2 linked regions of the Oreochromis niloticus genome follow. The protein of the gene in region 2 interacts with the protein of the main gene of each other region in a pairwise test. Links are inferred from orthologs where the notes say so. Each region holds a gene or a part of one and is shown on either strand. Other genes may lie near its edges.

The links.
Region 1: the proteins of ankrd13a (region 2) and qdpra interact in a two-hybrid assay, tested with the Homo sapiens proteins (2 studies listed by BioGRID). The two-hybrid records come from large-scale screens. The link is inferred for Oreochromis niloticus from reciprocal best matches to the Homo sapiens genes ANKRD13A and QDPR.

Annotation. Positions count from the first base shown.
Region 1 is NC_031966.2:12,137,839-12,145,119, forward strand, and holds the start of qdpra (quinoid dihydropteridine reductase a), read right to left. Parts: upstream 3,012-7,281; 5' UTR 2,878-3,011; coding exon 2,794-2,877; intron 2,710-2,793; coding exon 2,617-2,709; intron 1,807-2,616; coding exon 1,710-1,806; intron 943-1,709; coding exon 802-942; intron 1-801. UniProt on the Homo sapiens protein: Catalyzes the conversion of quinonoid dihydrobiopterin into tetrahydrobiopterin.
Region 2 is NC_031977.2:18,122,717-18,130,102, forward strand, and holds the start of ankrd13a (ankyrin repeat domain-containing protein 13A), read left to right. Parts: upstream 1-4,374; 5' UTR 4,375-4,783; coding exon 4,784-4,891; intron 4,892-5,965; coding exon 5,966-6,101; intron 6,102-6,393; coding exon 6,394-6,518; intron 6,519-6,606; coding exon 6,607-6,652; intron 6,653-6,975; coding exon 6,976-7,119; intron 7,120-7,211; coding exon 7,212-7,386. Other genes in the region: ARF GTPase-activating protein GIT2a, read right to left, coding at 203-336, 3,097-3,148. UniProt on the Homo sapiens protein: Ubiquitin-binding protein that specifically recognizes and binds 'Lys-63'-linked ubiquitin. Does not bind 'Lys-48'-linked ubiquitin.

The DNA.
Region 1 (7,281 bases), on a different chromosome or scaffold from region 2:
ACCTGACACGGGAACTGAGGAATGCATCTAGCCCTTCAATGAATCCATCTACTCCTCACGGAAGCCTCATGAGAAATTGTTTCAGCAGAAGACTGGATGTCAAGAAGATATTATTCTTGAAGGAAGGCAAATGGCGAGAAAGCAGCCAAGGTTTGCCAGATTACAAAAAGAACTGAAGTGAAAACATGTTGTACGGAGTGATTAATCCAAATTTGCACATTTCAATAAATCGCTACACCCATTTCCCAATTTTTTTGGAAAAACATAAAGTGGAGGGTGGCTCAAGACTTTTGTGCAGTACTGTATGCATTAATCCTTATGTAATATATAACTTATGGTTCTTAGCATAAATTTTCCTTTAGTGTTCTGTTATTCTTCTAATTTATCTACTTTCATTAACCTTATTTTTTATTTATTCACTCTTGCCCCGGATATCTTAAAACGATTAAGCAGGTTGGTTGAGTCAATTGCTCAACAACACAGGGGAAGGTTTGTGGTGGACAAACATGCTGTTTTGGCAATCAAACCAATTACTTTTTGTTTGTGAAACAGACTCACTAACCAGTGAGCACCACTGCTGCCGCAGAGCTCATCAGCGATTCTGTCTCTTTTCCCTTCTGTTTTGCTTCTTGGATCAATGTTATCGACACATTTCGCCCCCAATCGCGCACACTGCTGTGAGCAGGTGCGCCTCTGATCAGTGTGTCAATTACCCTGGTCAAAGTCTGTAACCCTGAGGAGCAGGCTATCAGTTCGCTATGATGAGAACAGTAAACACGCAACAAAAACTGTGTGCCTCACCTCCAGTGCCTGACTGGGCTGCTTTAGCTCCAGCCAGAGTCAGCAGTCCACCTGTTTTTAGGTGCAAGGCAGCAAGGTGGCTGGAGATGGTTGAAGTCCACACGCTCTGTTTCCACATCAAATCGGCATTTTTGTACAAGTCTGTAGGAGATTACAGAGAACAACATCTTAGCCTGGCTCTTCAAAGCAGTGCCGAAAGCTGCGAGTGCCTCTAAAAGGTTTGTTTGATCTGTACAAAAGCTTGAGTAAAAAAGATCAAATTGCCATTTTTACAGGGTTTCTGTGTCAGATTATTTCTTGGCTTGGACCAGAAACTTCCTGAAGCCTTACCAGACTGCCTGACAACCGTTCATTGCCAGGAATCATTGCTGGCACGTACCTCATCTATTAAATGGTGAATTGCTGTTTATAAACACTGGTATTTGTAAAGATTTAATACACTAACTTGTTAATCTGAGCCTGCCATGTAGACCAGCTGTTTTGAGTAGCTTCATTCATGCCAGTCTTTTCATCTTTGCCAGAAAGTGAGTGCCTTTTCCTCCAAATGTTTGAAATGGCTGAATTTTCGGCAACCACAAACTTCTTATTAGCTGCACAGTGCACATCAATTCTGGCACTTCAAGAGAACTGCTGCTTTCCCTTTGCTGCCAGGTACAGCTATGGAATAAATACCAAAAAGCTAACTGGCAGAACAAAAATCTGGCAAGCTTTTGGCCCCGCAGAACAAGATTTGAACACTTCTAAGTAAACGAGATTCAAGAAAAAGTCTCATCACAAATATCCCTTAGACTTTATTTAATTACACAGCAAATTGTTTTCAAGTTCACAATTATGCATGGGAGGCTGCAGGAAAGCTGGCTGATTATTAACATCAAAACAAATAAAAAAAAAAAAGGTTGAACTCTGACCTTTGGAACTACAGTTTCCTCCCGCCCATCCTCCCGCCACGCACAAGATGGCATCCACTTTCTGTTCCCCTAGCAACTGGGCCACATCTGCCGTCACCTGCACAAAATGAGAGCTAACTGCTAACACAGTGACATAAAGCTTGGGGGCTGACGCACAAGCTGAATGGCATTTAAATGTCAACTAAGCATCAGCTGGAGAGTGTTTGTTCTGGTAAACAAACAAAGGAGGATAGCTGTAGAAATTATCCTCACTCAGTAGGTGCACTGTTAGATTTCTAAAAACACACTTTTTATTTTATAAAGTGCATAAAATATCTTACCAAAAGCAATTATACAGAGAGAAGGGATGCTACCAATTTTTATCAAAGTCAGATAAAATGAGCAAAAAGAGATGCATCAAATGATAAATATATTTCTGTGTGTCAAATAAGACCATTTAAGATCAGCTTTAATAGTGTTACTTACCTTGGCTTTTTATACTCTCTCTACCCTTAGATGCTCTCAATGAATAGATTTGAGCTATAAAAGCTATTAAGATGTTCAAGAAAAAGAAGTATAGTTTAGATAACCATTAATGCTGCCTAAACAAATAAGAAAAAAAATCATCACAGTAATGTGACTCTATCATAACCTCTCTACTATAAAAACCGAAATCCCCACTTTCTCAGTGTGACCTGAACGCAGCATTAGCTTACACACATTTTAGCAACTCTACTATTACTGAACAATGCAAATAGTTGTAATAATAATAATAATTTTAACAATAATAAAATAACAAACAAATGTCATTGGAGTTATACTTCAGTCACATGAAAAGTCTGACTTTAGCTGTCGCAGTAACAGCCCTACTCCTGTCTGTTAGCGCTTCAGTTTTTGCACTGATGAGTAAGAAAGACCTGCAGAGCACCTGTCCTGCTTGCTCGGTGAAAGACTCCGTCATCTTCACGACCACGTTTTCATTAGCCTCTTCATTTGCACCTATGTCGATGCTGGCGACCCACTATTTAGTGCACAGAGAAAGAGAAATATAGTTAGCTCACCGTTTATCAGTGCTAGCATGCTAGCGTTAGCTGTCACCACTCACCCATCCTTTAGATTTGAAATACTCGACACACTTTGAGCCCAGAGCGCCTCTCCCACCGTAAACGATCACCCGGTTAGCAGCCATGTTCACGCTCCGGTTACCCGTCAGGAGTGAGAGCGAGAGAGCTGCAGGGATTGAGTTTAGGAGAGCAGGAGGAGGAATAGGAGGCGTTTCTCTGAATGAGCAACAAGTTGGTTGAACTAATGCTGCGTTCAACGACTGTCAGAAATCACCCACTCCAAAGTGAATCCAGAAGCGAAGCAAGCTGAGAACTGAAACCAAAAACTGCAGTTCTTGAAATAGGCATTTGAGGCTGGTCCCAAAAGCGAGTCAATCCCCCATAGCCAAACTTTACAGCAATTAAAAGAACATGGTCAATGCTCGTACCCTGAAAAGGAGTGTAGACAATTAAATAGTATTTAATAATAATTTAAAAAAAATAAATAAAATGCTTGTGTTACAGGAAAAAGTTTGTCCTCCAAGCATAGGAAGCTGTAGCTGGTAACGCTCTGCTAATTTGAGTCACTGAACAGAACAGTGGCGTGTCTAGAAAATTTTTGTTGGGGGGGCCAGGTAGGGGCACAGATTTGGAGAAGGGTGGCAGATGTAATTGGCAGATAATGTTAAAAAAATTCTACCAACAGTTAACCATCATTCAATAACCCTGTAAACCTAATAACTGAATTTGCTTTTGACTCTTATTAGAACAAGGTTTTAACCACTATGGTGCAGCAATATTTGCATAGTATTTTTACTGACATATAGTGCACGTATGTTTTGGGCAAAAACATTTTTAAATATTAAAATACGAACATTTTTAACATACAATTGGCAAATTAGCCAATGCAAAACTTTATCTGCCTATTAAAAAAAGAAGATAATCTTCTTACAAACTGGTGTTTGATTTTGAAACAGGAAAAAAGTGGGGAAACAAATGAAAAGACTAACATTTGAATAAAACCTGAAAGCAAGTAAATACTTTCTATGCTGCCTTATGGTAAACTTTGGTAATATTGATGTATAAAGAACAACACTGGCTGATGATAAAATACAGTCAGCTGGCATGGTGACACTGCCAGTATTAACCTGCAGGCTGGACTGGAACGAAAAATCAGGCATTTTGACCAGAGACCGGCCCGCCAGGTATTAAAGCCATAAAGCCTTTGAATGAAAACAAACGCTGTTGTGACAGTGATGTACACTGTCGTGTTGGTATATGTATGATTTCTATCAATTTTACGTCAGATAAAAACTTTGTTCGCAAGATTCAGATATTTATTTAATAAAAGCTAAATATTTTAAATGAGAATAAGAAAGAAAAGTATTTCTTTGTGCCCCCCTTTCCCTGTTGGCCCCCTGGCATAACTTTGCTAGATCCGCCCCTGCACAGTTACCAGCTGTCAGCTACATAGAAAAGGATCCTGGTGTTATTTGTCTCTCAGAAACAGTTCATAACTTCAACTCATTCATGTCACCTACAAGGTAAACCTGTTTCTCCATCACCTGTTCAGCTCTGATGATTCAGTAAGGACATCTCCTGGTTTCATCTGCATGTTTCCCTCTCACCACATATCCAAACCGACATCATGACCAGCAGCTTTACAGCTGTGGCTCCAGCAAACATCAGCTGATACTAGAAATTAATATTAAATAAATTCTAACAACAGCTGATCAAGCTTAAACGTGCTGCTGTTGTTTAGCGCGACATCCGCTAGTTTCCTCTTTCTGGTGCAAAGTGGGTGATAAACAAACGAGAGAAAAGCCGATCAGCTGATCATTGATCAGTTTCATGATTGAAGTAGCAACAGGAGAGGGAGGGGGAGAGAATGAGAGAAGAAGAGGCAGCTGTGCAGCAAAGACACAGAATAACTCCAGCTTTGTGTCTTTTTTCCATTCTAGCTGAAGTCCGGGACAAACTGCGTCTCTTCTCAGCTCAATACGAAACCTGTAATATTTTCTCTGAATGAGGGACCATTCCATTTTTTAAGGAGCGGTTGGAAACTCTACTAACTAAACTTATGAATAAAATAAAGTTCACTATCAGTAACATCACAGCACCCACCCAGCTGTATAGAAACTATGTCATGCTAGCTAGCACGCAGTATGAGTTATTGTAACTGACTGTAAAAAGTCAGCATAACAAAAATAAACTCCACCTAAACTTGGTTTATATCTGACCCAGATAGACTGCAGGTCATAACTTCTTACCTGAAGTTCAGTTCACCTGACACTGGGACCGGCGGCCGCCTCGGGTCTCTCCTCCTGCCTCCCCTTCACGCATCCACCTGCTAGCCGCTGTGGAAGCTCCGCCATGCTCGATGGCCAGTCCAGCTAAACTGTTAATCTTTCGCCGAAAAACTTTTTTCTGCGGTGCCTCTTTCTTGCTTGGCTCTCCTACCTTTGCTAACACGATGCTCATAGCTCAGAAGCCGATGCTGCATTCACTTACACTCGGATATCTGAGCTTCACTGTGAAAACATAATCGTACATTTGATTTTTCATTGGATTTTATTGTTTTGGCTTCGGGGTGGCACCTGGGGTGGCCAGTCTGGTTGGGGGGGTGGCCTGTGCCCCCCCAGGCCACCCCGCTGGACACGCCACAGGAACAGAACCTCTCTATCTGCTGATGGTGCATTTTTTGTGAGCAAAAATCTTTTAAAAATGTTATTATTATTATAAAAGATGGATTTAAATTTGGGTCTCAAAAGTGAATTCAACGTAGAAGTGCCTTAAACTTGAGCTGTTTTAACGGCTAACGACAGGTGAAAGCACAAGGGGTACATGCATCTTTCATATGACTTTTTCACTTGGCAATAATTAGCAAGTGTGTCTCTAACCACTGAACCCAGAGACTCGGGATAAAACTATATAGTTTTTGGATGCAGCTTGCTAAATCTCCCTGTCATTCAAATGTGGTTCCTTTTTACGGACAAAAAGTTAACACTGAGAGTTGAAAATGGTAGTCCAGAAGCCAGCAGGTGACGTTCTAGAGGACAGATGTCAAACACAAGGCCAGAGGGTCATAAATGGCCCAGTAAACACATCTGGCCCAATGAAGTGCATAAATTTTGATCTTTTAACTGCATTTCCGTGTCAAAAAAAAGACAAAAAGATGCACAACGTTGATGCTAAAAAACAAATTCTTCTTGTTCCTTCTATACATACATGTACATAGAAACAGTGTCTGAGAATCTTTACCATGGAATGAGTTTTTTTCAGACGTTCTGTTTTCAGTAACCAAAAACCATTTACATGTGCATGGCAAGCCATAAAAGGTAGGACAGAGTAGCCATTTTTCTTGACATCGCAAATAAAACATGTTTTTGTTTAAACAAGGGTGAAAACATACAGACTTGTGTTTTTTACTATACAGGCACATGTAGCGTTATTTCCCCACACCCTCTAGCACAGAGGTTCCCAAAGTGTGGGGCCCGCCCCCTGGGGGGGGCGCAGAGCCATTGCAGGGGGTGCGCGGTATGAAAAGAAAAAAAAAAAAAAGAGCGCTTGGACACTGTGGACAGGTTTTTGACGGGGCTCCCACACAAACGCAAAGCAGGAGATGAAGCATCGCCAAATATGTTTCCAAACCAACTTCCTTCCAAGCCAAAGACAGGAAAATATGGTGAAGCATATCTTCCCTTTGGCTTCACCTGCACAAGTGCCGAGGTAGGTCTCCCCTGCAAAATTAGTTTCCCTGCGTCGGGAGCACGCGCTGTGCTCTCCAAATCACGGACAAACAGTATCTCACATTCTTGATTTTTAGTTCACAAACACTTCTTGTAATAACTAACTACTCCTGACATTTGTTAGTTATTACAAGAAGTGTTTGTGAACTAAAAATCAAGAGCTAACATGATGTTAGCTCTTTATGCAGTAAAGTTACAGTGGGATACAAATAATATCAGGCTGATCCTGCCGTAATTTGTTCCCCCTGTTCAAATCATGGACAAACAGTATCCCACAGCTGTTTATGTGTTTAAACCCATTTTGCACAGAGAGGCATTTTTTGAAAAATGTATTGATAGCAATGTTGAATATTATTACACAGGAAAAAAAACAACTACAGGTAAAATAATTACACCATGACGCCTCTGCCTTTCTAAATGGAGGGACAGTAACTGCGTGTGTATATGTAAGCGTGTAAAACCTGAAGATAGTCAGATTAACAGTAACTATGAGGGGCCGTACAAGCCAAAATTCATTCTTTCACTCTCACACACATACATTCTTCTCTCACACACATATATTTTCACTCTCACATACATATATTTTCACTCTCACATACATATATTTTCATTCTTTCACTCTCACACACATACATTCTTCTTTCACACACATATATATTTTCACTCTCACATACATACATTTTCACTCTCACATACATACATTTTCATTTATGCATTCCTACATTTTGCTCTCATTTACATGCATTCAATATGCATTTAATCTCACAAATAATATATGTATGTAAGCAGAGAATGCATACA
Region 2 (7,386 bases):
GATCTGCTGCACTTGATGTCATACAGCTCTACTGAATTTAAAACTGAAGTAATACTAACCCAAACCCAAGTATAACATGCCCTAATGGCTTTAGTTCAGCATCTAAGCATAGAAACTACAAGTAAGAAAAATTCACAGCCAAATGAATAAATACGCATGCAATAGCTGAATGATCAAAATATTTCTATTGAGGATTATTTACCTGCAGCTGCGTAGGGGGCCATGGCGTGTGCGTCAGGTGGCGCACTTGGGAGCTGTGTCTGCCCAAGCTCCGATGAACACTGCAGCACTCGTCACAGATCAACACGCCTCTGTTCACCGAGGCCCAGCGAGGTTCTGAGCAAGAACAGAAAACAACCAAGTCACAATTATGATAGATAAATTGAGCAGCTTAGAGTATAATCTTGGAGTTAGAGCATTTCACTGGTTTTACTTCGATCAAGCCGGAAGTTAATCTTTCTTTCTCTTTTTATCATCATTCAAATCAACTCAGTGCTTCCCTTTCGACAACAAGCTGGAGCCAAAGAGTCTCCTGTTACCACTGTTGTAAGATGACTACTACAGGCAGGTGCTTACTTGGTAATAATTATGATATTTTGAAAAATCATCATTTGATAGTTCTTACTCACAAGTACTGCTAATTTACCCAAAGTTTAATACAGTTTATTCTTCTGTGCCATAGGACTCTTGAAAATTATAGGCAAGCCACACTGATATCAGTACTTTACACACCATTACACACCTACAAAAATGAGCTCTCAAATTTTTAAAAGCACAGAACTAAAGCTTTTACATGGATCCCTCATAATTGTGACAGATTTAGCTGAATTGGGCTTAAGACAACTATCTTTTAGGTTCCAAGCACCCTAAAAAGAGTTGTGATTTCATGACAGAAGGAGATGAAATCGGAGTTTCGAGACAACATAAGAGTTTCAGTTGGGTCAAAGATGCCACAGAAGGAAATAATCGACAGAATCTGATTGTTTTGATAGCATAAATAGTCCCCATATGTATAAGGTATTTCGTTTTTGATTGCTATGGCATGACTTTATGAGCTAAACCATATTATTTTAGGGACCCCTTAGCACAAAGCCAGACCCGCTCTGAGAAAACAAACATATAGTTATCTATAGCTGAGAAAGATCCCTGAAAAACAGGCTGTTTAATCCTGTTCAAGTGGCATTTGCTGAAAACTAGTGTCCTGCTGGAAGAAATAGCCGAGGCTTTTGAAAATGGTTATTTCATATATTTTATTTTTTTAAAAATCATTGGCTTTCAACACATGGGATTAACAAAATGTTGGTGTTGGAGTTTTCATTAAATTTCTGGACACTAGATCACAATGTAATGTATGTCATATAATTAAACATAATAATATCACAAGATGCTGAGTGGAGGCTTTAAGATCTAATGAAGACAAACACAATCCAAGAAAGAAAGAAAAGAAAAAGCCAAACTCCAACAGGCTGTGAAAAAGGTCACATTCATAGTCATGTATCGCCTTTCTGACTGCAGATTTAGGTGAAGCTATGTGTTGTGTAAAAAGGAAGTGAAGACTAGCGCTTGTAGGTCGAGGCGCCTCATAACAGAGCAGCTTCCTCTTTCAAAGCACTATAAAGAAAATACCTGAAGAACTAAGAATCTTAGAACAGAGCTGCAATATTAACCTAATGCGTGGTGTTAGTGCCCTGTGAATTAAAAGTCTACTATGACTCTGTGACCAAAATAAATGTGTTTACTTAACCTTGACCTATTTTGCACGGTTCATGTAGTGCAAAAGTCACAGAGTTGTCTTCCATCTGTGCACAGACTCTTCTTGACAGCAAACATCAAGACTAGAAACACTGTAAAATGATACAGCACTAAAGCCCACTGAGTTTTAAGCAGATAGAGTGACGGGACAGGCGCTGTAAAAATCCCGACAGCAGCTGCAGTGCAGGAGCAACAGATGCAGGAGGTCGCTGGACAGATTGTGGTTCCTGGTCCCCAAGTTTTCAGAATTTCCTTCTAACAACTCTCCCTCAGGACCCCCCGAGTCTCAGTGCTCTCCTCAGCACGTGCTGCTAAATTTAATACCACATCTTGAAACGCTAAAAATATTCACACCCAACAACTGGTAGCAACCATAAAGTGGGGCGATCCAGGGCAGTTGCTGAGGAGAGCTCAGGGTTAACCAATGACATGAGTGACACGATGACAGACGAGCTTCTTAATATTTGCCTTCCGCTGAATGATGCAAAACAAACCAATGTATATTCTATTATTAGACTTTATTTAATTTACAGTGCATTATGTTGCCACAAGAAGAAAAAAAAATAAAATCTCTCCTGCATTGAGTATGCGGTCGATTCACTCAGCATCCTGTTTTGCTTCCTGTGCCTGCTGAACAGCATCACGTCATTTCTATACAAGTGGAACTTCTGTAAGTACAGCCTCAGACACAATACAACAATTGTATGCTCAGCTCTCAGAGCTTGGTGCCATTGGCCCCGAAAAACAGAGCTCTGTTAGAGGGTGCTGGTTTACCCTGATGTTTACCCTGATTAATAAGTGGTTATAGCACTCATTTTTTACTCTATTACTACACATAGCACAGTAAAGTCACTGGTTACAGATGACACAGACTGCAGATTTGGGTTAAGGATGCAACGACTTTTTAAAATAATCAAATCTTTATGAATACAGTAGGAAATACCATACAGTCATTACTCATTAACACCTTTAGTTCAGATCAGTTACATCGTGCCAGAAGACCACTGTTATGCCCTTTTTTATTGCACTTTACTCATGAGAAACAGTTCATCCCAGCAGTTGAAAGCTCATTTTACAACGGGCATATAAAAGGGACATATCATATAATTATAATAGGGTTTTGGCTGGTTATTAAACCAACCGGCACCCTAAAAACTCCTTTCATGAAGGGAGCTATGGCGTTAGAGAAGAATACTAAATAGGTAAATACCCTAAATTTCTGTAAAGAGAAACCAACGTGTTGCCAGCGCTGCTAATCGGATTTATTTGGATTTGGGGTGTTTCTTAAGCACCAAATGTCAGCTAACAGACAAACACTGCATGGATGGTGTGAGTTTTACTTACCTGGGACACAGCAATCTGCGCAGACCTCAGTGTTTCGCAGGCGTTTAGACATCCTCAACTCGGGAAGAAACGCCTTTTAAAACTGAGTAGAGGAAATTGTGTCCGTTATGCTAACCATTGATTACTCTGTTAAGATACCTTCCGCGTTAGCTAAACCCAGCAAATTAAAAACAATCCGACAACTAACTATCGTACTTACTTCGTTTAACCGTTGCGAGCCTTTTCGTTTTGGCTAGCGTTGGAGTTATGACCATGATAACATTTCCTCCCGCTACAACGCCGCTCGTCTGCAAGTGAGCTGACTGAGCAGCCACCTGATTAGCTAACTAGCCTGTGCACACTTGGTAGTTTACTCCTCTGCCTCTAGACAGCAGCATTTAGCGCTAGCGCGATCCCAGAGGCAGCTGTGACTGTGACCTATAAATGCGGTGTACTGTGCCCATAGTTTTGACTCTCAGGAAATAAACCTCTCAAAATAATACGAATAAGTCCTTCTTGAAATTTGTTCCGATTCTCTAATTTTATAGCTACAGGTAAACATGAAATATGAATACAACACAATACTTATGGAGCTCTTTTTTTGTCGGTACACAACCTGACAGATTAAAATCAGGGTCTTAATTTTCCCTAAAAGAGGTGAGTTTGATCTACTCACCTTGGAGTACACTGTAGTATTTTGTTATGTCTTAAATTGAGCTCCATAAATGTTCACCTACCGACGGCCTTTTAAATCGCGCTTTGTACATCTTTAACACTGATGCAATGTTAGATTAAAAAAAAAACAAAATACAAGACATGAAAACAGTCATGTGTATTAAATCATATATTAAAATTTGACTCCGCAGAGCAGAAAAAGGCACCGAACGTAACTGAGACAGAGGAGTTTTTAATTAATATTGATTTGTGAAGTTTAAAACAATAGGACGGATACATACAACTTTATATACTATCTTTAAATTTAGCAGGCGTAGTTATGTACATTATAACCTGGCGGTACAGATTTAGATTTTTAACCCGCTCCCACCCCCTCCCTCAAAACGTAATATTGCCGATCCCATTTCAATGTTATAGGGCAAAATAAAACAATTTACTTTCTAGGAATTTACATGGTTTGTTTAGCTGATGTCTGCACAATATAGTGGCGCTACATTTCAAGAATTCAAAATATGGGAACCAAAGTTAGACAATATAGAAATCACTTTATTTAGTCATAGTATTAACAATGAAGGTTCTTCAACCCCCATGTCGACATGCTAAATGGTTGAGTCCAGACTGGAAGTGTCTATTATTTTTTTAAAGGCGATGATTTTATCTACGAGTGCCGTTTCATTTGTTTTTAGCCTAAAGGAATATTTTGTAAACCGTATATAAAGAAGGTGTCACTTTAAAATCGACCATTAGGTTACCTTAATCAGGCGATATTTAATGGACCGCGAGTCTGTTTCTATATAGAACACCCCTGTCGTTGCTGGGAAATACTCCTGGCACTTCCTTGTTCAAAAGTTTTATTTAGGGGAAGGCTTGGGGGGGAAAGTTGGTCACCGGATTGGTTATTACTTCGACGCTGCTGTCAGACATTAAAGGCATGGATCAAAGCTTTTTGGCGTAACTACTGTGGCTGTCCCAGCTTTTCTCATGGCTCCAGTTGTTAGAGGGTGGCTAACGTTGCACTGAAAGAAAGAGGAAGATGTCCATGGCTAACATTAGCGAAGACATCAGGGTGAAGTTTCCCCTGCATTCCGCAGTGTGGGAGAATGACTACAGGAAGCTGGAGCAGCTATTAACATCAACGCAGGTTGGTTAAAACCACTGGAGAGGTTGGTAACCTTGGCACCAATACTCAGCTAGCCGGACTAAACCAGGAGTGAGCTGCTGAATTTCCGCAGGCAGGCAGTTAAAGAAGGCCAGTGGTGTTTACAGATGCTCCGCAGGCAGCCACATACACATGACATTGAGTAGCTCAGCTTTTTACGCATCTAGAAGTTTGAAAGCTTTAAAAGACAAACAAACAAAAAGTCTTCCGGTACAGACTGGTAACTTGTTTCCAGTTAAAATGTAAGCTTCTGTCCCATTTCACTGGATTCCTCAAATACACTGATTAACAGACAGCAGTACGTGTTTTATCACTCGCATGGATACATTTGTTGTTTATTTTGCACTACTTACAGTAACTCGGCATTGCTATTTAGCTTCAAAGTGGAGAGATCCAGTGGCTCAAACAATAAACAGTGTTAGGGATGGGTATTGATAAGAGTTTATTGATACAAATGCCATTATTAATTCTCTTTATAGGTCAGATTGGTTTTCACTGTCAACACACAGTTTCATTTTCACTGCTTGGACAAAGTGTAGGGGGGGAAAAAGCTTGCATGTGACACAGGTGTGTAAAAAGTGCCGCTATCATGAGTCTGGTGTCACTGTTGTGCAATCTGCAACTTTTGGAAAACATGCCATGTGCTGTGAAAAAGATTTGATGTTTTGGGGGGTTTATGATAATCCGATGAATAGTATAAGCTCTGGATTCCCATCCCTAAGCCAATAATTACCTCAAGACATGCTGGAGAGTTTATTTTATTTATTTAAAATAGACAATGCAGTTTGACATAGTTCCAGTACAGAGCATGAAACTGATGTGCCGCACAAAGAGTTTATAGCTATTCCTAATTTCCAGCCCTTGTCCCTTGTTGGGCTTATACATCCACACTACACAATTATTATGATTTCTTTGTACTGACTCCAGCAGTTTTATATCATTATTAGCCATGACAAAATTACATGTTGTTGACTGCATTGGTTATAATAATCGCTTGGAGGTTCTTATGTCAGCTCAGTAGTATTTAGTCTAAACAGGCACCTTATTATTTTTCAGAATGACATCGAGGCTGTGGATCCCAGAGGCCGAACACCTCTACACCTGGCTGTATCACTCGGGCACCTGGAGTCAGTGAGAATCCTGCTGAGACATGGCGCTCAAGTGACTAAAGAAAATGCCAATAATTGGACAGGTTTGTTACAAAGCTAGCTACATAACAGACAAGGAGGGCTAGGATTTGGATTGGTTTGTTGGTTCATTTTAGATCCCTGCTGTCTATAACCCTAACCATCATCTGCTGTTGACGAGGTTTCTTGTAAATATACTTATCCAAGAATATCAACTCCTACAACTGCAGTAAAACGGTTTCTTTGGTCTTTAATTTCATTGCTGAGGTTTTTAATGGTTAATCGTTTCTCAGAGGAAACGGATGCTGTTCCATTAAAAGGTTTAGTGGTTTTTTCTGCTTGACTTTCTATGGGCAGTGCTGCAGGAAGCAGTCAGCACAGGAGATCCAGAGATGGTTCAGTTAGTGCTTCAACGCAGAGACTACCTCAAAGCCTCCACTGCCCTGGGAGGAGTGCCTGAGCTGCTGTCAAAGATCCGAGTGGTGTGACTTCATATATTTTTCCCTTTTGCTTGTCATCATTTGTAAGTGTGCCTGGAAACATTTAAAATATTTCTTTTCCCTTTTCTAGTCTCCAGACTTCTATATGGAGATGAAATGGGAATTCACCAGTTGGAGTAAGTTCTTTTTTTTTGTGAGTGGAAATATATATATTTTTAAGTAGATTTTTAAAGTAGACAAGTGTATAAATGGTATTATGTTCATGCAAAAACAGCTGGTTTATCAGAAATCCAGTATGCAAAAGAGGGATGGTTTTAAAAAGTTTTTTTTATTTAAGGCAGCAGTCTGTTTTTAAAGATTGACGCTTTTCCTGTGTGGCTTCATCAGGTCACACAGGAAAAACTACATACCTGCCCGCTGCCAGGTGAAGTATTTGTTTGCTTAAGTGGTGTTTTTCACGTATGGATGCTTTTTGTTTCTGTATCCCGTTGTTTCGCAGTTCCTCTCGTGTCCCGGGTTTGTCCGAGTGATGTTTGCCGCATTTGGAAAAGCGGCGCCTCGCTGCGAGTGGATGTTACTCTTCTAGGCTTTGAGAACATGACCTGGATCAGAGGGCGTAGAAGCTACATCTTCAGAGGAGATGGCATGTGTTTACACTCCCTCACACAGTCAAGTTTTCTTTGCTGCTGTTTTGGTTAAAATGGTCTAAGCGACTCCCTGTCTGTGTGTCGGCAGATTCATTTGCAGAGCTGATGGAGGTGAACCACGACGATGAAGTCGTGGACATCGAACGCTTCAACATATCCCAAGAAATGGAGGATGTGACGTTAGAGTCAATGCAGCCAGCTGAGCAGGAAGTTGCCAAAAGGTTGACGACTCCTATTGTCAACACCTACTTGGACACAAAGGA